4 linked regions of the Drosophila melanogaster genome follow. Changing the gene in region 3 together with the main gene of any one other region gives a genetic interaction. Each region holds a gene or a part of one and is shown on either strand. Other genes may lie near its edges.

Evidence for each region.
Region 1: of Dad (region 3) and Art1, changing one suppresses a phenotype caused by changing the other (phenotypic suppression), as found in Drosophila melanogaster (one study listed by BioGRID).
Region 2: of Dad (region 3) and Mad, changing one suppresses a phenotype caused by changing the other (phenotypic suppression), as found in Drosophila melanogaster (one study listed by BioGRID).
Region 4: of Dad (region 3) and Dys, changing one suppresses a phenotype caused by changing the other (phenotypic suppression), as found in Drosophila melanogaster (one study listed by BioGRID).

The regions. Positions count from the first base shown.
Region 1 is NT_033777.3:10,785,696-10,789,922, forward strand, and holds Art1 (arginine methyltransferase 1), read right to left. Parts: upstream 2,532-4,227; 5' UTR 2,420-2,531; coding exon 2,417-2,419; intron 2,354-2,416; coding exon 2,078-2,353; intron 2,010-2,077; coding exon 1,780-2,009; intron 1,693-1,779; coding exon 1,071-1,692; 3' UTR 786-1,070; downstream 1-785. Other genes in the region: Mcm5 (minichromosome maintenance 5), read left to right, coding at 2,970-3,121, 3,176-4,227.
Region 2 is NT_033779.5:3,146,704-3,154,575, reverse strand, and holds the start of Mad (mothers against dpp), read left to right. Parts: upstream 1-1,822; 5' UTR 1,823-2,143; coding exon 2,144-2,147; intron 2,148-5,296; coding exon 5,297-5,772; intron 5,773-5,838; coding exon 5,839-6,529; intron 6,530-6,750; coding exon 6,751-7,157; 3' UTR 7,158-7,872.
Region 3 is NT_033777.3:17,052,093-17,057,289, reverse strand, and holds the start of Dad (daughters against dpp), read right to left. Parts: upstream 3,284-5,197; 5' UTR 2,928-3,283; intron 2,394-2,927; exon of another isoform or gene 2,255-2,393; 5' UTR 2,116-2,254; intron 1-2,115.
Region 4 is NT_033777.3:19,461,799-19,466,823, reverse strand, and holds the start of Dys (dystrophin), read right to left. Parts: upstream 3,292-5,025; 5' UTR 3,185-3,291; exon of another isoform or gene 3,143-3,184; intron 2,325-3,142; 5' UTR 2,000-2,324; coding exon 1,978-1,999; intron 1-1,977. Other genes in the region: Scsalpha2 (Succinyl-coenzyme A synthetase alpha subunit 2), read left to right, coding at 3,860-4,888.

The sequences.
Region 1 (4,227 bases), 6.3 Mb from region 3:
TTCGTCCGCTTTCTCAAGTACTTGACTCTGATGTCGAGAAAACTGGCCTTGAACGCGTTTAACGCTGATGATCACAGCTACTATAGATTTGTTCGACCATTTTCTTATTGCATATGTATCCGACAAAGTAGAAAGCTTTAAACTCTAATTATAGGATATCAGTTGGTAATAGATAGTAAATGTAATTGCAGCAGCTAAATGTAATAGCAGCATTAGCAATAATACTCTTATCTTAATTGGTTCACAGCTTAATTCATAGAAACAAAACAGTTTGCACAGCTTTCATTTTTGTTCCCCCTGGTAATTAGTTTAAGTAACTATTTAGCAGTATTTAACACTCCTATTTTGCAGCTCTTTGTAAGGCGCGTATGTACATACACTTCTTACCATTCTAAGCTGATTTAAATAATTTTATTAAGCTTTTAAGTAATCATTTCTTCTTTACCAATGCGTTTATTTCAGGTCACGTTCGCCACGTCGCTCCCGATCGCCCCGCAGCCGCAGCTTCTCGCGCGATCGTCGAAGTCGCTCGGATTCTCGGGATCGTCATTAATGTTTCCAAAAGGATATCGTTTAAGCAGTGTCGCATCAAAGAACAAGCCGGCCAAGGCCGTATTTTCTGTAGGAATTCCTATGTCGATTGCGATCCAAGTAAATTTACTTCAGATGACAATATAAATCTTTCGATGCATTCTTGAAATTCCTTTTTTTTTTTTACTAAAAAATAAAGACGCACAATCAGCGAGTTTTGATTGGTTTCATATATCATCAAAAACAGTTTGTTTCCAGCAAAAGGGGACGTGCTTAGTGCACTGTTTATTATGTGAGAATTGACGTGCTGCTGTACAACTTGCTTAGAAGTATGTTCGAATAATAATTTAAACAGGCGCACGAGTGTAAAATATTATGTATACTAACAAAGGTACACTTTAAACTTAGGAGAAGACGCAACACGAATTCGTTGCACATTTCGCACTGGAATAAACCTTACGTCTAGTCATTGTATGTATCCTCGCTGCAGGGCTCTGAGCCCCATCCCAAATGGCAGATCGGATTGGTTATGGCTGCCCCTAGCGCATGCGGTATGTGTTCGACTCCTGAATTTGAGACAATTCGCCCTTGAAATTAATGTCGATGACGAAGTCCAGGTCACGGTTGTTCCGCTCGTTGGGCTTCATCTGGAACGTGCCAGTGATCTCCTCGTTCTTCTTTGCCGTCATGTGGTCATCGAGGTAGAACACGGTTTGCTTCCAATGCGTGTATGTGGAGTCTGGTGACGTACTGAACCCAAGACGCTTGTGGCACTTGGTGAACTCTATATTAAAGTAGGTGACTAATGCCTGCACGAAGTCGTTGCGCTTGATGCATAGGCTGAACTTGGACGAGAAGTTAAGATCGGCCTTTTGCACGGTATACAGATCCACCTCCTTGACCATGCAAGATGTGGATACCACTTGCTTGGGATCGACCACGTCGACCAGTGGCTCGGTCACGGCCACCTTACGAATGCAGCTCATGTCGAAGCCGTAGACATCGTCCCACCAGTTGATCTTCTCGTCCTTGTACTGTCTGTCCTCGATGGCCGTGATATACAGCGTGCCCCTATCTGGGAACATCATGCCGTCCTTCTTCAGCCACTTGTCCCGAGCGTACAACACTGTATCCAGCATGGATTCGTAGAACAGGCAGTAACTAAATTAAGGAAAGAAATTAAAATGGTTAATATGCTAAATCAAATATGACCACTTTTTAAAAGCTTAACTACAAATGAAAACCTACCCCATCCACTCGGAAATAATAATGTCCACTCCCTCAATACCATTTGGAAGCTCAATCTCCTCAATCTTGCCCTTGACAACCGTGATTACATCCTGCAGATTGTTGTCAATGACCACTTGGCGGGCAAACTCAATGATGTTGGAGCAGTCGACGGCAATCACCTGAGCAGCACCGGCTTTGGCAGCGAACATGGAGAGAATGCCGGTACCGCAACCCACGTCCAGTACGGTCTGCAAAGAGGAGATACCCCGGTGAGAAGGGCTACGAAAAATGGGGAAACCCCGGAAGTTAACCCTACCTTGCCCTGAAACAGATGCTTGTTGTGGTACATGGCGTTGCGGTATGTGACGGTGCGCACTTCGTCCTTGAGCATCTCCTCGTGGATCCCGAAATGGGCATAGGAGTCAAAGTAATAGTCGCGGGACGTCATCTCGTCGGCGTTGGCATTGGGATTATCACCGGTGGAGCCCTCCGCGGGCAGCTTCTTCGCCACATTGTTTGAGTTCGCATTTGAATTGGGCGTGATGCCGGTCGCCGATTCCACAGCTGCCTCCATGGGAATGTCTGTGCTGGCCTGCGAATCGGGTTCGTCAGCTACTGGCCTGTCGATTGCCGTCACATTTTGACCAAAACTTACCATTTTCTAATTTCTTCGGCGTCTCTTTGGTTTTTCACGTCGAAAAATTGGCGACTAAATGATGGGACTGTTTCTACAGCACGCTAGTTTAAAAGGTCGCTTATCAACACTGCCCCCGCACAAAAGCTGGAAACAAATATCGCCAGCTCGATATTATTGGATTTTTCTGAAATTTTAGTATTTTTGAGCTGGGAAGAATTGGAGTCAGTTGTCTAAGGCATGTTCCATATAATCGAGTAAAATAATCTTTGTCATAACATCAATAAGATATAATAAATACGTTCATGGTTTATTAACTGCTGCAATGCTTGTTGTATTGGTCCTATTTCACTGCTAACAAAAATACATAAACTGGGAAACACGTTTCATCGATAGTTGTAAATAAGATCCGATAGTTTTACTGGTAAGTGCTCATCTCTAGCTACCGCTTGCCCGGTAATTTTGGCGGCAAAATATTCGCACATCGCATTTACTAAAAAACGAAATATAAAGCGAAGCAGAAGTAGCGTCTATTACCTCAGTTCTTCTTTTTAACTTTGTTTACCCTATCAAAATGGAAGGCTTCGACGATGCGGGTGTGTTCTTTTCGGACAATTTCGGCGGAGATAACCAGCAGGATGCGCAAATCAACTTGCAGGCGGTAAAGAAGAAGTACAAGGAGTTCATCCGGACATTTAACGAGGAGAACTTTTTCTACAAATACCGGTAAGTGAACTGCATCTCCTCATCTGAACCCCATTTAAGGTAATCCCCCTGCAGTGACACCCTGAAGAGGAACTATCTTAATGGTCGCTACTTCTTGGAGATTGAGATGGAGGATTTGGTGGGCTTCGATGAGACCTTGGCTGACAAGCTGAACAAGCAGCCGACGGAGCATTTGGAAATCTTCGAGGAGGCTGCCCGGGAGGTAGCCGACGAGATCACAGCTCCCCGGCCGGAGCACGAGGAACATATGCACGACATCCAGATTCTTCTGAGCTCCAATGCGAATCCCACCAACATACGACAGTTGAAGTCGGACTGCGTATCCAAGCTGGTTAAGATCGCCGGAATCATTGTCGCAGCCTCAGGAATAAGTGCCAAGGCTACGCGGATGTCTATCCAATGCCTGTCCTGCAGCACGGTCATACCGAATCTCAAAGTGAATCCAGGTTTGGAGGGCTACGCCCTACCCAGGAAGTGCAACACGGAGCAGGCGGGCAGACCCAAGTGCCCGCTGGACCCCTTCTTCATCATGCCGGACAAGTGCAAGTGCGTCGATTTCCAGACCCTTAAGTTGCAAGAGCTCCCCGACTTTGTGCCACAGGGTGAGATTCCCCGCCACTTGCAGCTCTTCTGCGATCGCTCGCTCTGTGAACGCGTGGTGCCCGGCAATCGCGTGCTTATCCAGGGCATATACTCCATTCGCAAGGTGGGCAAACCCTCGCGTCGGGATGGTCGCGAGAAAGCCGTCGTTGGAGTCCGTGCTCCTTACATGAGGGTGGTGGGCATCACCGTCGACTCAGAGGGTGCGGGTGCCATCTCCCGATACAGCAACATCACATCCGATGAGGAGGAGCACTTCCGGCGAATGGCCGCCTCTGGGGACATCTACGAACGTCTCTCACAGTCACTGGCGCCCAGCATCTTCGGCTCTCGGGATATCAAGAAAGCTATAACTTGTATGCTTTTTGGCGGGTCTCGTAAGCGTTTACCGGATGGTCTGTGCCGTCGAGGCGACATTAACGTCTTACTGCTGGGAGATCCTGGTACTGCCAAGTCACAGTTGTTAAAGTTTGTGGAGAAGGTGGCACCCATAGCAGTCTACACTT
Region 2 (7,872 bases), on a different chromosome or scaffold from region 3:
CTGCCATTCTATTTGATGTTAGGATGGAGCAGAAGACTAGAGGTGTCATCATTTTTTTGAAATTGAAGAGAAATGCTGTTTATTATTCACAGTAGTATATCCTTCTTCCAACTATGTTTGGCGCGCTTCGTTACTACTCAACTTGCATACTACTCATAAATGTGCATCAATGTTCATAAACATTGAAATTATTTCAAATCAAGATGGAACTGAAAGCTATTTATTTGAAAGTAGTGTAGACCACCCACCACCGACTGGCAATTTTTTTCATTTTTGCGGAAAAGCGGTGGTGTCCCCGTGTTGACAGCTCAATTACTCACATGACACAAAGCCTCTGCGTGGCCCCCTGCAATTATCGCGGCAATTATTTGCAATTAGAATTGAGTTAATTTACTTAAAAAAGGATTTTCTGCCGTGCCTGCGCATTTTTGCCCCTTGACGTTTGCACTTCGGCACGTGTGTGTTTTGAGTTTTCCGCTTTTGTGCAATTTGCGTGCATAAATTTTTATTGTTCCAAAGGGACTACATAATTATTTTGTTATTTTTCGTCGTTTTCACTTCTGCTTTCGAGGAGAGTGCGCTTCATTACTATTTCGATTTTACTGCGACTGTATAATGCTACCCATGTTTGCAATAAGTTCGCGTTTAGTAGTGTTAAACACGCAATAAAAGCGAAGGGAGGGAGGAGCGATCGCACATAAACATGCTCGCATTCTAAGCACACGTACAGTCCGGGCCAAGAAAATAGGTTCGCTTGACTTCAATTCAAAAGATTTCGTAACGAAAAAACTTTAGTTTCGTTGCTTTACCCATTAAAAAAAATTGGCAGTGCATTTGCGAATAGAATTTCGATTTGTTTCCGCTTATTTTCGTACCGAAAACACTCTGCCGAAGGAGGGCTTCATCGAATTTTAGGTTCAATTACTCGCCGGTCCCACGCACGAAAAAATTCGTTGACGCTGCCTTCTCTTAAACTCCTCCCCTGAAACTACGTTCCCTTCATTTTTGTTGTGGTTGCGGTGGGGTGTTTACAGTTTGATTGTGGCTGTGGGTTGACGCCACCTCCAACACCACCAAAGGCCATGCACTGCAAACAAATTAGTGTGCATCTAAAAACAGCAATGTCTATTTAATTCGAAAAAGAGTTAAGTAAAAGAGTACTCAAATGTTAAATCTTAGTTCTTCAAGTAACATTGTTATTTGAAATACAAATGTTGCATATTTTTCTCGCCGTGTGATCTGCTGCACACAAACACGTTCGCGCTCACGTGCTGGCGCCCCCAACTGCAGATAGGGCATTTGATTTGTTTAAAACAAAACTTTCGTTGCCTGTATGGGTGTAGTGGTGTGCACTTGGCTGCCCCAAACGCACACTGAAACCAATTACGAGCACAGGAATACGAATACGAATACGTCACTCAGAGGTCTTCAGAAATCAGGGCTGCGGACTAGCTGGTGATAAAGAAGGGATTCAATAGGGATACATACACTAGATTTATACTCTCTTAGGGCTACAATAAGTACATTACTAAATAGATAAATATTAAGAAAATGGAATATAATAACTCAATTTTCCAGTCTTAAACTTATTAATAACTGTAGAAAGTAGTTTGTGTTACCTTTAGATACTTTAGGATGGACCTGCTGCTTCGCATCCCTGGCGAACTCACACCGATACACAATACGAATGCAGTTTGGGCTGCGTTCAGTTCGTCACTCACTCAGTCAGTCAGTTCGTCAGTCAGTCAGTCAGTCAGTCAGTCAATCAACACTCGGCGCACTCAGTTTGCTGGGCAACCCGTTCGGCATTCGTTGTCGATCGGTCGTGTCGTGCAGTTGACTTCTGATTCGCGCTCGCTGCCATTTCCACTTTGCGTAATTTACGGCGAAAATAAAAAATAATACGGCAAAAGGCTTAAATAAATGAAGTTATTACGGTGATAACGATTGAATTGAAGACTCGCAGCGGAAATGTAACTGCTGAGGCGACTGGATTGGATGCCCGATCGTCGTGGAGGGTCGCGTTTGCGATTTGCATACGAATAAAATAACATTTTGATGCTGAATTCTTGTCCGTGTGTGTGTGTGTGTTTGTGCGTGCAATAAAAATAAATAAAATAATATCTGCAATCTCAACATCATCATGTGTAGGTTCTTAGTTCGTACATAGTTCTCGTTTGCCTCGAGTTGCTCGATTTTTGAGTTTTCCTCCTCGCATCAAATCGAAACTTTGGCCTGTTTGGTTTTGGTCTTTATCGCGCTGCGTTTTTGTGTGTGCATTGTTTGTTTATTTTTAAACATGGGTCCAAGTCCCTATTTTCTCTGTCTGTTCGTTTTTTTCTTGTTGTTTTGTTGTTATTTTTGTGGCACTAGTCGTAGTACCCTTTACCACGCTTTTTGCCCGCTTTCAATGGCAGCGGAAGTGCTTCTGTACTTCTGTACTTGTGTACTTGCCATCCATCCACCTTGATTTCTACTTCTACCTGGCTCCCATGATTTACGCCTTATTGTCACTGCCGCATTTATGATTGATTATCGATTGGAATGGTATGATACGCATGCGCGAATGCGTGCCTGCCATAAAAGTGCCTCGATATCCTCGCTCCTCCGTTTCTCCAGTTGAGTTATGATCCCTGACTAGCGATGCACTGAAAAGAAACTCACAATGGAATCACTAACCAGAAGAATGTACACAGCCGATTTGAAATGCAATTCTTCAATTTAGTTACTCTAAATATAAGACTAAAAGTAGATTCACTTTAAACCAAGAACCATCAATTGAATTTGCTTTGAAAGCAATGAAGAACTTTCCTTCGAGTGTGGTTTTCTTGAAAGCAGAAAGAAGACTGGGCCACTTTGGGCGGGTACGTTGGGTACGTGATCTCAGCTCGGGTAATATGTAATTGCGAATTACGATTATTGATCTTTAATTGATATGGGGAATGTCCCATATGATAATGGATCATAAAGGACTTATTATATTTATATTTAGTATCGTTCAACTCGAGATGCATTGAGAGACAAAACAAGAAAATCGTTTAAGTGCCTAAAGAAAGCCACTTTGTTGTTTGGAAAACCATCAAATCTCCGAATAAACATCATAAATATGTTGAATATGTTGTTATGATCGTGTAAATAAAGTTTTTATGTAATTCCTGCGAATTAATGGGGTAGTTTCCCCTTTTGAAAACCGACTGATTATGTCGAAAACCTCACCTGCAATCGAGCTTTGCACAAACAAAACGGGGGCATTATCGAAATTTGTATGCCTGCCCCACTCAAATCAATCGAATTCCACTAGAGCACCATTGCCACCTAAAAACACACGACACTAGTCAGCTGGGTAAATACGTAGGGTAGAGTTCTCTATCTCCACTAACCCCCTCGATAAGTCTGTCCGCCAAGTGTCACTCCGTTTGTATCCTGAGTTACTGAGAAGGAGAGACCATGTGAACTGGTACTCCACTGTATGTTTAATTTTGGGATTAGTTATAAGCAAAGGTGTACCATTTTCGATAAGGTACCGATTGTTTGTTCGTAATCCTAATCTTTTGGAAGAGGTTTTTAAGCTAGTTTTGGTAATCAAAATGGTTGTGTGACTTATCATTAATTTCAATATATTCTTGTAGGCTAGTGATAAAGTTAGAGCATTCTTAGAGCAATATATCTACCGCCGGAGGCTCTGGTTGACTTTGGGCAATTAGAAAAGTGACTGCCCCCAACCACTGGTCCTCGTTGACCACGCCCCCTTCCATGGGCGACAACATAAAATTGTCAATGCTGCGAAAAAAAAAAGAAAACGGCAACGCCCCAAAATTTTTAGGCCCGAGTTGAGCGAGAAAATCGAAATTAATTCACGCAACGGCTAATTTGGCCAGAAATATGCGCCATTTGGTCTGTCGGGAGCCCAATCGAGAGGTGTTTTCTTGTTGTCCAAGTGCTGCACTTGTTGATTTATCGCCGGCATTTAATTGCTTTTGAAATTGGATTTACCAGCCCGTTTGCTTGCCACAAAAATGGGTGGTTCGCCTAGCAAGTTCGCCTTGTGTGGCTCGCCGATTTTTGCTCCAGCTTGCACAAATTAATTGCTACTACAAATTTTCATTCAATTAGGTTTTGTCACTTTTAAATTTAATCAAACATTTTTTGACACCTTGAGTAAAGCAACGAGATTGAGGCTAAGACAGCCAACTGGAGCGCAGCCACTTGGCCAACGGAGAGAAGTTCCTCAGAAATGCTGTTAACATTGAAATGTCATAATTCAAATGGAATTGTTGTCTTTGGTGGGGAAAAGTATGGAGGGGGGGGGGCGTAGAAAACAGGGGGGAATACCCACAATTGTGGCGCTGACAAGTCGAACACCATTTGGTTATCATTTGCGCTCATTATGAGATGCAGTTCTCGCCACTCGACTCGAATATTACTGCAGTACAGTGGAGCCTAACTAAATAGAATGAAGACAGTGGGTTTTTATTGCTATAGTTTAGTTTTTTCTGTTGATAAACCAATTTCTTAATGCCAATTTTCTAAGAATCGATAAGGCAGCCCGAAAACCAGCACATGAAACTATTATCTGTGCTTCATAAATTTACCTATTATTCATATATTTTTGCAGAATTGTTGTGTTCGAAAACTAATACTATTTATAACGTTGAAAAGTGCGAACTCTTTTCGTTCGCAACCTTTGTGGTTTTTTGGAATTCAAAGAACTGTCAGACCTCAAAAATACCCCCCTTACAATAGAATCGTTTCACAATTGACGTCAGCTGCGATTGAATACGAACAATAACCATATTTAATAGATAAAAATAAGTTTCCAACGAAATCGAGATTCGATTAATCAGCTAGTTGGTTAAGTGAAGCAATAATGGCCATTATTCTCAATGAGAAAATGTTGCAGGCAATTTGCATGCAATTGGCCGCCAACATTGAAAGTGGGAGGAGTCCGTTCATGACAGGAACCTCCCAACGACTTCATTCACTAGCCAGAAACACGATGCACTGCCAGGCCCCATGGATACTCACTCCTCCTCCAATTTCTGCTGGGCACTTGGCCAAGCGGGTAAAGACACTCGAAGAAAAAGGGTCACATAAGTTGCTGACTTCCCCTTTTGTTACGTATAAACATTTGCTTGAATTAGATGCAAAGTTTTCTATAACATTTCTCTCAGTGCATTCGAATTTTGCATGCGTTGTGTTGTGGGCGTTGCTGAGACAATCTAAGCTCGATGATGAATGCCTGCAATTCTATTTGTATTTATTATTTATATTTGCTTTTTACTTGCTCTTTTCACAGACTATCCGCCCGCTGATAGTTATACCGGTTATCGGGTGACTCCACCCCAAATCAACGGCGGCACCACCACCACCACCACCATCAGCAGCGGCAGCAGCAACAACAACAACATCCACCACATCAACAATAACAATAACCACATCTGCAGCAGTGGCAGCAGCAACAACCTCAATTTGACGACAGCAATCAGCGGCAGCAGCAACAGAATGGACACCGACGATGTGGAATCGAACACAAGCAGCGCGATGTCCACACTGGGCTCGCTATTCTCCTTCACATCGCCGGCGGTGAAGAAGCTGCTGGGCTGGAAACAGGGTGACGAAGAGGAGAAGTGGGCGGAGAAGGCCGTCGACAGTCTGGTGAAGAAGTTGAAGAAGCGCAAGGGCGCCATCGAGGAGCTGGAGCGTGCGCTCTCCTGTCCCGGTCAGCCCTCGAAGTGTGTCACCATTCCACGCTCGCTGGACGGACGATTACAGGTGGGTCACAAGCCACATGGCCAGCTAAGTAACAGATGATTATTAACTCCTATTTCCGAATATCAGGTCTCCCATCGCAAGGGTCTGCCGCATGTGATCTACTGCCGCGTGTGGCGCTGGCCAGATCTGCAGTCGCACCACGAACTGAAGCCACTCGAGCTGTGCCAGTATCCGTTCAGCGCCAAGCAGAAGGAGGTGTGCATCAATCCGTATCACTATAAGCGCGTGGAGAGTCCGGTGCTCCCGCCAGTACTCGTTCCTCGCCACTCGGAATTCGCGCCCGGTCACTCGATGCTGCAGTTCAACCATGTGGCCGAGCCCAGTATGCCGCACAATGTGAGCTACTCGAACAGTGGATTCAACTCGCACAGCTTGAGCACCAGCAACACATCGGTGGGCAGTCCGAGTTCCGTCAACTCCAATCCCAATTCGCCGTACGACAGCTTGGCGGGAACACCGCCACCCGCCTACAGTCCCTCGGAGGATGGCAACTCCAACAATCCGAACGACGGTGGCCAGCTGCTGGATGCTCAGATGGGCGATGTTGCCCAGGTTAGCTATTCGGAGCCCGCCTTCTGGGCGTCGATAGCCTACTACGAGCTAAATTGCCGCGTGGGCGAGGTGTTCCACTGCAACAACAACTCCGTGATCGTTGACGGTTTCACGAATCCTTCCAACAACTCGGACCGCTGCTGTCTCGGCCAGCTGAGCAACGTGAACAGGAATAGCACCATCGAGAACACACGCCGTCATATAGGTGAGTCGATTTTAGCACTTAAATTAACTTACTCACAGAGATTTCCCATCAGCAACTATCTTAAAGTGGTTAATAACTAAGATTACACATTGGTAATCTTAAATTAGAAAGCGACTTGTGTTTATCAGTTATAAAAATAGGCATTGAGTAGAGTAGAAAGCTATGGACTTCAAGAATCCAACTACCTGTCTTTTTAACTCAAAATGTTTCTTCTTCCCCAGGCAAGGGTGTTCATTTATACTATGTGACCGGCGAGGTCTACGCCGAATGCCTATCCGACTCCGCCATTTTCGTGCAGTCGCGCAACTGCAACTACCACCACGGATTCCATCCGAGCACCGTGTGCAAAATACCGCCGGGCTGCTCGCTGAAGATCTTCAACAATCAGGAATTTGCTCAGCTGCTGTCGCAGTCGGTGAACAATGGATTCGAGGCCGTCTACGAGCTGACAAAGATGTGCACGATCCGGATGTCGTTCGTGAAGGGCTGGGGTGCGGAGTATCATCGCCAGGATGTGACCTCGACGCCCTGTTGGATTGAAATCCATCTGCACGGGCCGCTCCAGTGGCTGGACAAGGTGCTCACCCAAATGGGCTCTCCGCATAATGCAATTAGTTCGGTATCCTAAGCTTAAGATGAGGCTCGAGTCCTCAATGGAGACGGAAGAGAAGGAACACAAAACCGGTAGCTAAATGATGAGTGCGTGTGAGTGAAAGCTAAGTGTGAAAAGACGTAGAGAACACAGGACAATGGAGAGAGCATAGGTCTGTAGGCCTGAGGATGGAGGTCCATGCCACTCAGTCGCAGATTTATATAGATGATGTACGGCAGCTACTCCAATACCCGCCCTTTGCCCATATTTTATAGTTTATCGTATGATTTTCTATGCGAATGTCATTCCTAACGCTAAAACAGAGTAATGAAAATGGACAGCGAGCTAAGAAACCAATTACAAAATGGTATAACTATTTACAATGATCTACATGCTATAATATTAATGATCTATGCCCATTGGCAAAACAGTTCTTGTTCAAGTCTATTTCAAGTGCTAATTATGTGTCATTGCAAAACTGCTTTAAATATAAAAACACATTGAATTAATCCTACCAACTTTAATTACATAAGGAACAAGTAACTTACGTAGGGATATGAAAACACTTATTGCAATACATTTCTTAAAATGATTTTGAAGAAGCCCTAGCTTATGTTTTATTTTTCTCATTTGCGGTTCGCCTTGGATCAACGAATTCAATGTTCAATATAGTTGATTTAAATATATATATGGTTTAACTAATTTTAAGTTGCAAACAAATCGAAAACATCAAACAAGAAAAGATACCAGC
Region 3 (5,197 bases):
AAACATAATTAAACTGGTCCCTAAATCTGTATTATTTAGATGTAACCAAAACATACATAGCTAAACCGATCGGCTTGTTAATTCAATGTTTATATTGCTACTTTTTGTTTTCTTTGAATAGAATAATATATGTATGTAGATGAATCTGATTTGAAAGATACCAAAATCATAATGCTTTATTTTTTATTAAACCCTCTGAGCACATATGCAGGTGCATACTTACATACATATGTATGTATCAAATCAATAATGAGCGTAGTGTTGTTTGAATGTGCCACATTTCCTATAAAAAGGCTACATTCCCCGTTTTCGATTTCCAGACTACGCCCCTGGTGGCAGGCAAGGAATCTAGTGGTGGATCGCTTGAGTGAGTAATACCCCCTCCCCGCCCTCTTTCACCAACGGACAGCCGACGCCAGTGCATATGCAAAGATCTGTGCGGCAGCATCAGCTGTCAGCGAGAAAGAGACGGACGATGGTGGGGGGGAACGATTGGTAAGGGGGAACGATTGGTAAGGGGGAACGAACGGGAGAGCGCCGCAAATTAACAGCCCAAATACGCTTGTGTTTGTGTATGTGTGTGGCCCATGCGACTATTTCCATTTTGTTGCTGGCATTTCTTGCGCTCCTTATCGACGACAAAAGTGGCGCCGCCGGCATGACGGCAACAACATAAAAAACAGCACAGCAGCGACGAACAGCAACAAAATTACGAGTCAGCCCCACAAGCACGCTCACCAACACCAACACACCGCATCAAACACACTCGCGCTCTCTCGCTCACTCATACATACAGAATGCTTGCGTGCAGAGTAAAAAAAAGGCAGGGCGGCGGGCGTGCGAGCGAGAGGGAAATGCCTGGCGCCACTGACGTAATAAAAGAAATAATAGTAACGATGTCGGCGGCAGAGGCGTCGTCGGAATGGCGCCACACCAACACACGCTCACCTTAGACAGACACACGGACAGGGACGAGCGACGCGACGGTCGGTTTGTCAGCCGGTTTGACAAGTTGAAGAATCAACAATTTAAGGTTGAGGTGAGTATGAAATAATCTACCGCAGCCGTGGTTCAAAAGAGTACGTACCACCAGAGAGTGCGAGTGTGGTGGGAATTAGAATTGAAGGCGCTCTCGAAACTCTTCTGAAAAGTCATCAAGTCGAGAACTTAGCGTTCTTAAAGTCTAGCTTTGAATTAGAACTTATCAGAATGCATCTGAGTTTTTCAATCGGAAACAAAAAAAGGTATGTTTTAAACAGTAGCATTATCTTATGAGACCAATCTTAGGACTTTACTTATTTTGTCAAGAACAGAAACATAATTAATAATAGGAATCAATTTATAAGATCCTTCATTCCCTCCACATAAACCGTATAACTGCACGATTAATATTTGTCAATAATAAAAAATGCAATGCGAAAGCGACAGAAATAAATTATTTACATATGGACATACATCTAAAATTATTTATGATGTGCGATGTATGCACCACAGTTTTTAGCTTCAAAATTGCAAAGTAATTGATACCACCGTACTTTTGCTTTCAAATATTTACCAATCTTGAGTCAGCCGGAACAAAAACCCTTCCACATTTAAAACTATGAAAGATGTGTAATCCAGTGAACAATAGAGAGAGCTGTTTACGTTCATAAAATTCAGTATTTAGAGCAAGTCCAATACAAAAAAAAAAAATTGCACATCAACACTTCAAAAGCCATATATCGCACATTTAACAATCAATTGAAAACAGTCTATACTCAAGAATTTTTATTCAAACCCGCTGAGTGATTATTTTTTCCAAATTCACGTTTACAAATTTATATGTATATTTATATATACATACGTAGTTATGGACTTTCTGATAATGAAAGCATGAGTAATTGTAAGTCCAATTGGAAACTATAGCGATTTGGTAACAGATATTCGCGACTCGGTATTATATAAAATATAAAATTATCTTCGAAACCGCATCAGAAAATATTGAATATGAAAACTTAAATAACGCTAATGAGTGATAAGCATTTGTTTGTTGACTTAGCTATTTTGCATAATCACGAGTGCACCTCTTCAAATCGGCTTGATTTTGAGTTCTAAGGAGTGGAAATAGGTACTTACTGTTTAAAATTTTTTGTTAGGTGGTTTCCGTTTAATCCTTTCCTTATGTAGTATTACTTTTTGATATGTGTAGGTGTATTTGATATGTTTAGAGGTTCACTTGATAATTTGTATTTACATTTACTGCAGAAGAAACAAACTATTAGCAACGAATTTGAATTTGTTTAACACGTGCCGACGGGTTTTTGTTATTGGATTGGTAACCGCAGTCGATTTTTTCTTTTTTTGCTGCTGGTCAGTCACTTTTTCCTATGCATGTGTACGTTTGTGTGGATTTAATAAGGTGCGAGTAATGTGTTGATTTCGGTTGAATATTATGTTGAAGTAGCCGAATGCCGGAAAACAATAACAATTTTTAACGTGGTGGAAAAGGTGTTTTTTGTTGGCTTGCGATTTGCGCTCTGCTTTGATTCTGCCGGCGTCGCTACCACCGCTATATACGTATACGTTTGTTTGTTTGTATGGGCCAGTGCAGGTACAATGTGTGTACGTGGCTGGCGAACAATTGCATTTCTTTTCTTGCTGTTATTTGCTCAGTTAAAGCTTGAACACACTTATTATTTGGCCCGCATTTTCCCCCCGATGCTCATTGATTTTTAATTCGCACACGAACACAACCACAAAACACACGCACGCAAACGAGATCGAAGATCCGTTATCCGGGCGGAGAATTCTCGCTCTTTCTTTGCACACACAAACACAAACAAATGCATAGAATTCATAACAGCAAGCAGCAAAAATAAAAGATTTTCGCCTGACGATTTCCAATCCCCTTCGATTCTCACTTCAATTGATTTGCCTGCTGCACTCACACTTTTTCTATGTATTTCCTCCTTCACATTTCAGTTCTAGAGCGCACAACAACTTCACTGCACTTGTTTGTTGTTTACGACGCCCGCGTTTACAACAACAAAAACAAAACCCGTAAATGTTGCGAAAAAAGAGTCGGGGAAAGGCGAAAAAGTCCGATATTTAGGAACTGCGTTTTTTTGTCATTTAATTAACCCAAAAATCATTTAGCAGTCTCGAACACAAATAACGTTATTTCGGAAAATTTCTCGTGGCAATACGTCAAGTATCCATCTTTTCGTTGATATCTTTCGGATTTGGATTTCTCGAACGGCAAAAGAACACACAAGCGACGCGGTTGAAAATTGTTGGGGCAATGAGCGAAGCGCTAACTGTGCGGATTGATAGTCTTTGGAGCTGTGGGGAATAAACGTGGGAGAAACGCCTGAGAGAGCGCCTGGGAGAGGGAGGTTTAGAGAGAGAGAGAAAAATTAAGAGACCAAGAAATTGTAAAATTAGAATCATACATAAAGTTCCCGTTCTAACAATGTATAAGAACTTCAGTTTTATTATTAATTAGAAAAGACTTGTTAAAATATCTTCATATTTTTCACATTCCCATTCCTACTACAAGTGCTAAACCAAAGAATCCAAGACATCTGAGAGTGGAGAGCATCCGTTGGATGGCTACTATGGCGTGGTGAGTTTCGTTTCGCTTCCGCGGACAGATACAACCTGCGCACGCACACCCACACTCGCTTCATGCTGGCAGTGCCGTTGGAAATAGTGTTGGCTAACGCGGTAATTTCAAAAATTGATAAGTTTTCCTAGACAAATTATGTGGGAAATACTAAGCTGTCCTATAATATAGGAGAAATCTATAACTATATGTTTATAATTGAAAAGCCGTGTTCAGTATGAGCATTTTATAATTTAAGTTAAAAAAAGATTAATGTACCTTAAAATTTTATTTAAGATGTCTTAAAAGGTAAATGCTTAAAAGGCATACAAGGTTTAATTAATTCGAATCAAATTAAAAACTCTCAGTACATATTAGCCCCTGTTAAATACGTCTGTTGAAGTTGCCAAAAAACTCAACTCCCTCGATGCTGTCGAGAGCGGAGAACCTGAGGAAGCAACATCGACATTTAGCGCGGTCTTGGTTGCCGCAAAATGTGATGAATGGTTGTGATCAAGGGCATATCAGTTGCATTGCCTTGCCCATGTCTGCCAAACACACGGACGCACACACGCCCATACAAAGTGGCGCCCCTGCAGCGGCCCTACACACACAGAAACACACTTAAAGCGCGCAGCGAGGATCGCATACCGCACTGCGAGAAAAGTCGATGGAATTATCTATGCTAAAATTTTTTACAGTCGTTATTACTATAACTAATTCTCTAAATAATAATAAATATAAGTTTACCTTTAGTTCATCTATGACATACAGTACAGTGCAATACAGTGGCAACGTCGAATTTAGTTATTGTAGTTTATTGTAATTTAAAACCGGTATTACTTAAACGTGTAAGGAACACAAGATCACGTCCAGATTTTTCACAGTGCCAAGCAGACGCTCCAACAGGAACCCTGGTTCGTCAGTTCCAGTAGAAATACATAATTGTCTCTCGTTTGGACGACTCGAAAACACAAAAGCAAATAGGCTCCCGTCATTACGATAATAATAGGTCGGGAACAGGGAACACAGGCCACTTGTGGAGTGAAACCGGCAACCGGCGATGTTGGCAGGAGGAATTTGATCGCGTCGTGAGCGTTAAATAAGCGAGAGTCGGGCCCCTGACTTGCCCCGTGGAGGGGCATGGGTATTAACTCCGGAAAGGACGGCGGCAGGAGTTTGAATACATTATTTTCTTATGAGGCCAGAGACATTCCGCAAATGCTAAACAAATAATACGACAGCGAGGAGTAGCGTCCCACAAAGCATCTTATTTAAAGGGCCTCAATTATTCAGCAGTGCCTTTGTTATGGTTAACCCTTTTCTTAGAATATAAAAATATTGCAACTCTACTAAGCCAATTGCTCTTAAGCATAATATTGGGAAAAAGGTATTTCGAATGTATATATTAAAACTAAATGCTTACTTTATATTTTCGCCATTTTAAAACTACATCGGAGATATTACATTGTGGTTAGTTTTACACGTGTCTATCGCAACAGTCAACCTTATTAAAAGTTACGTCATTTAACTATAAACAAATGCACAACGTGGATAAGCACAAATATGTGTATGGCTTTTGTGTGTGGGAAGAGGTATGGTATATGGTTTGGG
Region 4 (5,025 bases), 2.4 Mb from region 3:
ACTGTCAAAATTTGGTTTCATATGTTCTACTTATTTATAGTTTCTAGATATTTTATCATATATTATTGAGATTATTATGTAGCTTGTTAAGTGGTAAAGGTAATAGGTAATAAAAGGTAATAGTTTGTTAAATTAGCCTTGAAAATTGCAAAACAACTTGTTCGGTCCACTTTGAAACCCCAAAACTCCCCCACAGATGGCACCTACCAGATAAACGCCTTTTTTCCCCGCAACTCAGCTACAAAATCCAATCAAGCAATAAACAAATGGAAACCCATTAGCCAAAAAAAAAAAGAGCAAAATAGCGGGAATAACAAATTGCGAGCTGTAGTTGGAGTAATTTTTTACGGGCGTGCGCATTTTTGACTCCGTGTCCGTGTTACTTGAAAAGACCGGCTGCACTGGTATTGGTAATGTGTGCTCCAGATCCCACTAAGCTCAAATACAAAAACATATCAAATAAAACCGACACATGTGGCCAAATGCAAATGCGCATTTTGTCGCATTCCAAGCCCAGCTGGTCGAGCGGATTTCGATCCGAACTGGTGGCTTTGCCGGTTTTAAGCCGCAGACAAACCAGCGACACTCATGGATACGCCTAATGCCATCCAAGCCCGAATTTGGAATTCGAAAACTGTTGAATACTTTACATTTAATCTAAAAACGAAATAGAATACTTAGCAATTTTATTCGAAACCCTTGCTTGGGGTTTATCAACTACAGATTGTCGAAATAGTTATATATTATTTATAAAAATCGAATGATCGTTTATTTGCGTTGAAGTTTTTGTAAGTCTACAAATTTTAAAACTCATATTATTAATATTTATAAGAAATACAATATACCCTCGGCATTTTCGCCGCCGGGTTTTATGGAAACCCGCACATATTAGATTTCTCGCACAAATTGGTGCGGTTCGGTGTCTAAACCGAGTCTCAATTACACCCGTTCGCAGCCCGCTCCCCCGATTTTCCACCCAACCCCCCTCCACAGCGGTTGGGTGCTCATTAGCTGAGCGCGGGTTACGCAGAGCATTCGGCTTGGGAGCGTTAGCAACCGCCGTCTACAGACCAGGCCACACCCTCTGCTCCTCACTCGCATTTTCCAGCTGTCCCCTCAGAACTCGGCCGACTCTGCATTTGCCCGATCATTAAATGCTTAACCAAATGAGTTAAAGCGATGTATCTGTATCTGTGGTTCTGAATGGGGTGTGTGCCATCACTTTGTTGTTCCAGGACACTGGGCGAAAAAATTAGCTCAGTTCGATTTATATTAGGATTTGAAATTTAAATCGCTTTGTTCTTGAGATACAATGTGGCTTCGAAAAATTGTCTGACTAGCTTAATTTCTCAATTGCAAATGTATTTTTCATCTTCTTTACTTACTTTCTAATTATAATTATTTTCTTTTCTTTAACACTTTTTAATATTCTGTAGATTAGAAAAATTTCTCCCAGTGATTGCATATGTTTCTGTGACTACAAGCAACATGTGGTCGTCTGTTTGTCTCCGTTTTTAAAGTCGCTTCTGCGAGCGAAGAAAGCATGGAAATTATTTCAGATATGTGAAATGGGGGCACGAGTTCTGAGCCCTCGAAATAATTGCTCTTCCCCCAATGGGGTTAAGTTTTGAGAAGGGAGTGCAGTTGGATGATCTGTGGATTTTTTCTGTAATTAGCTCCGAACATGTGTGGGAATAAATGCATACAGAATACTTTTTGAACGACTTTTTGACTTAATTTTATGCTACAAAGCAAACTAAGCAAAATATTTTTAAGAATATTTACCAATAAACTTAAGAGAAAGAACACTACATACATTAAATTGTATATATAAATTGATTTATCTGTTATTGGATCGAATTTTTAATGATTTTCCAAACAAGAAATATGACTTATCTCATCTTGTATTTTAACATCTGCCTTGAAGTCAGTAATGATTTTCTCTTTAAAAACCCATATAAAGATCTACAATCTTACCAATTAAAATTCCGGGTTCCATAGTCGTATAATCCTTGATTCGCTTAATCCCAGTAGCGAATTGATTTCGTTTCGATAAAATTTAAAATCACCAACATAAAAACCTATGCTTTTCAAGGTCGTATCGTATCGAATTGAATTACAAAATCGTTGAATCACATGGACACAATTCGGGTTATTTATTTCGGTTTGATTGATATGTATGCTTCGTGGTAAGACAACTGATATCGCCGCATTTCGTTTTTTTTTACCACTTTCGCACCATTTGGTTTTGTTTACCGCTTCGTTTCGTAATATTTCGCGTTAATTTCCAGAAATCGAAGGTGTGCCAAGAATTCTACAAAGACCTAAAATCACAATTGCAGAATGTCGAATATTAAAGGTGACACCTGTGATGTTTGTTTTCTTATTAGACTTTGTGTTGACTTTCCCACCAAGAAACAAATATGTTTTGCGCATGCGCAACGGCAAAGAGAATGAGCGAGAGAGAGGAAGTGAGCGGGAGTCAGGAAACTACCGTTAGGTTTTCCTCTGCTTTTAATGAGTTTTTGTGTTTGCCTGCCATTTTTAATTTTAACAAGCAGCGTTGTTTACCAATTTGATTGTTTTATTTACTTTTTTCCATTTTCTTTATCAATTTCTTAGTCTCTCTCTCTCTCTTTTTATCTTTCCCCGCTCTCACGCTCATCAAAAAGCAAACACCGGTTAACGAGGAACGCTGGAAACGTCCGAAACAGTGCGGCATTAAAAGCGAAAACCAGAAATGGAACGTGTGGCTATTGGAACAGACAACACTTTTGTTGTTGCTATCGTGGGTAATTTGTGAGTCAAAGAATCAAGAATGCGTGAATGTGTGTGTTTGTTGGAAAAAAAGAGTTAAAACCTCTAAAAACTCGATTAAAGACAAGGCAAAACCTTAAGTTTGGCACACCAATTGCGATTTCAAGCACTTGCTGTTGAAATTCCTTCGGAATTTATATTATTTCTCCACTTTTGCTCAAACAACTTGTGGCACACTCACACACGCGCACAAATTCTACACCTTGAACTTGCGTCAGCTTTTTTTTTTGCTCTTTCCCATTATCTTTTCATTTTAGGTAACCACTTTAAGTGCCTTTTTCAATTTACAAACTTTTCTTGGTTATTAAACTTTCGGGACACGCACTTGCAGCCAATTTTGATTTTCCTGCGCTGCTTCTTTTGTTACTTTTTCTTCTCGGCTCACAACGACGGCGCGCAGAAAAAAACCAGTAACATCATGGTGTTTATCCGACGCGTTTTAAGTCTTTACGCTTCGAAGTCAGAAAGCGATCTGAAACGCGATCGTAACGTAGCTATTCTTGTTCGCTCTCTTTGAACGATGATCTTATTGGAACGGGTTGCAGCCCAACTGGCCAAAGCGGGCGTTTCAGTTCAGCTGTTTCGCGCGCTCAGAGAGTGAGAGCGAGATAAAAGAGGAGTTTCTATTGGATTTCAATTAAAATCGAATCGGAATTAATTGAAGGGCTGAGCGCAGGCACAGTGGGGTAGATAATTTGTTTTCATTTTTACTTTAACAAGTTACTATCAAATTTATATTATAACAGATAATAACTCTTTAAATTTAATAACATGAAGTTACAAAGCAAGGTTTAGGAGTTATAGGACCTCAATGTTGTATAAAAGAAAATGCACTTAAACATGCATGTACGTAAATTACCAGAAAAGGATTTGTTAAGAACACAGCAGGCCTTTTTCCAAACCTCCCTGATAATTTGACTGTTGAAACCTGACATTCGGTCAACAGTTTTGGTAAGAACTCCATTCTAAATCAGGCCCCAAAAGTTTAATTTTTTGGCCCAAAAACAAATCCACCAGCAATCCAAGACTTAATTCCCACAAAATGTCACTAAATCGAGGAAGCAAGATGCTCCTGCGGGCGTTAACGCCCCAAATTTTGAGGCGTGGCAAGGCGGACTATGGCAAGACGGTGTGCAACCTGAAGATCAACAAGGCAACAAAGGTTCTAGTCCAGGGATTCACCGGCAAGCAGGCCACTTTCCACTCGGAGGAGTCCATAAAGTACGGAACCAATATAGTTGGCGGTGTGAATCCCAAAAAGGGAGGTACGGAGCATCTGGGCAAGCCCGTATTCAAATCGGTGGCAGAAGCTGTGGAGAAGGCGAAGCCAGATGCCACGGTGATCTTTATACCACCTCCATCCGCCGCCGAGGGTATTTGCGCGGCTATCGAGAGTGAAATTGGCTTGATTGTGGCCATCACCGAGGGTATTCCCCAGGCGGATATGGTGCGGATATCGCAAATGCTGAATTGCCAGGAGAAGTCCCGCCTGCTGGGACCCAACTGTCCGGGAATCATCTCGCCGGATCAGTGCAAAATCGGAATAATGCCGGGAGATATCCACAAGCGAGGAGTGGTGGGCATAGTCTCGCGGTCGGGAACCCTGACCTACGAGTCCGTCCATCAGACCACCAACGTGGGATTGGGTCAGGCTCTTTGCGTTGGCCTCGGCGGGGATCCCTTTAACGGAACTAGCTTCATAGACGCCCTCAAAGTGTTTCTGTCCGACAAGGAGATCAAGGGCATTGTCATGATTGGAGAGATTGGCGGATCCGCCGAGGAAGAGGCTGCCGATTTCCTTAAGGAGAAGAACACTGGCTGCGAGGCCAAGCCAGTAGTTGGCTTCATTGCTGGACAGACTGCTCCACCGGGTCGTCGAATGGGTCACGCCGGCGCCATCATTTCCGGTGGCAAGGGAGCGGCCAAGGACAAGGTGGCCGCCCTGGAGAAAGCGGGAGTCCGTATGACCGCCAATCCCTGCCACCTGGGCTCCACGCTCCTCGAGGAAATGATCCGCCTGAAACTGGTGCCCAAGCCGAACAAAAAGAAGGCTCAGGCCGGGAAGAAGTAGGAGTGGCGGAACAAGTTATTGATGCCAATAAACTAACTTAGTGCTCTTTAAATTGCTAAAATATCTCTTTTATTTTTTTTTCGAAGTCTAAATTATAAAATTGATGAAGAAGTTCAATGGGATTATATCTAAACACA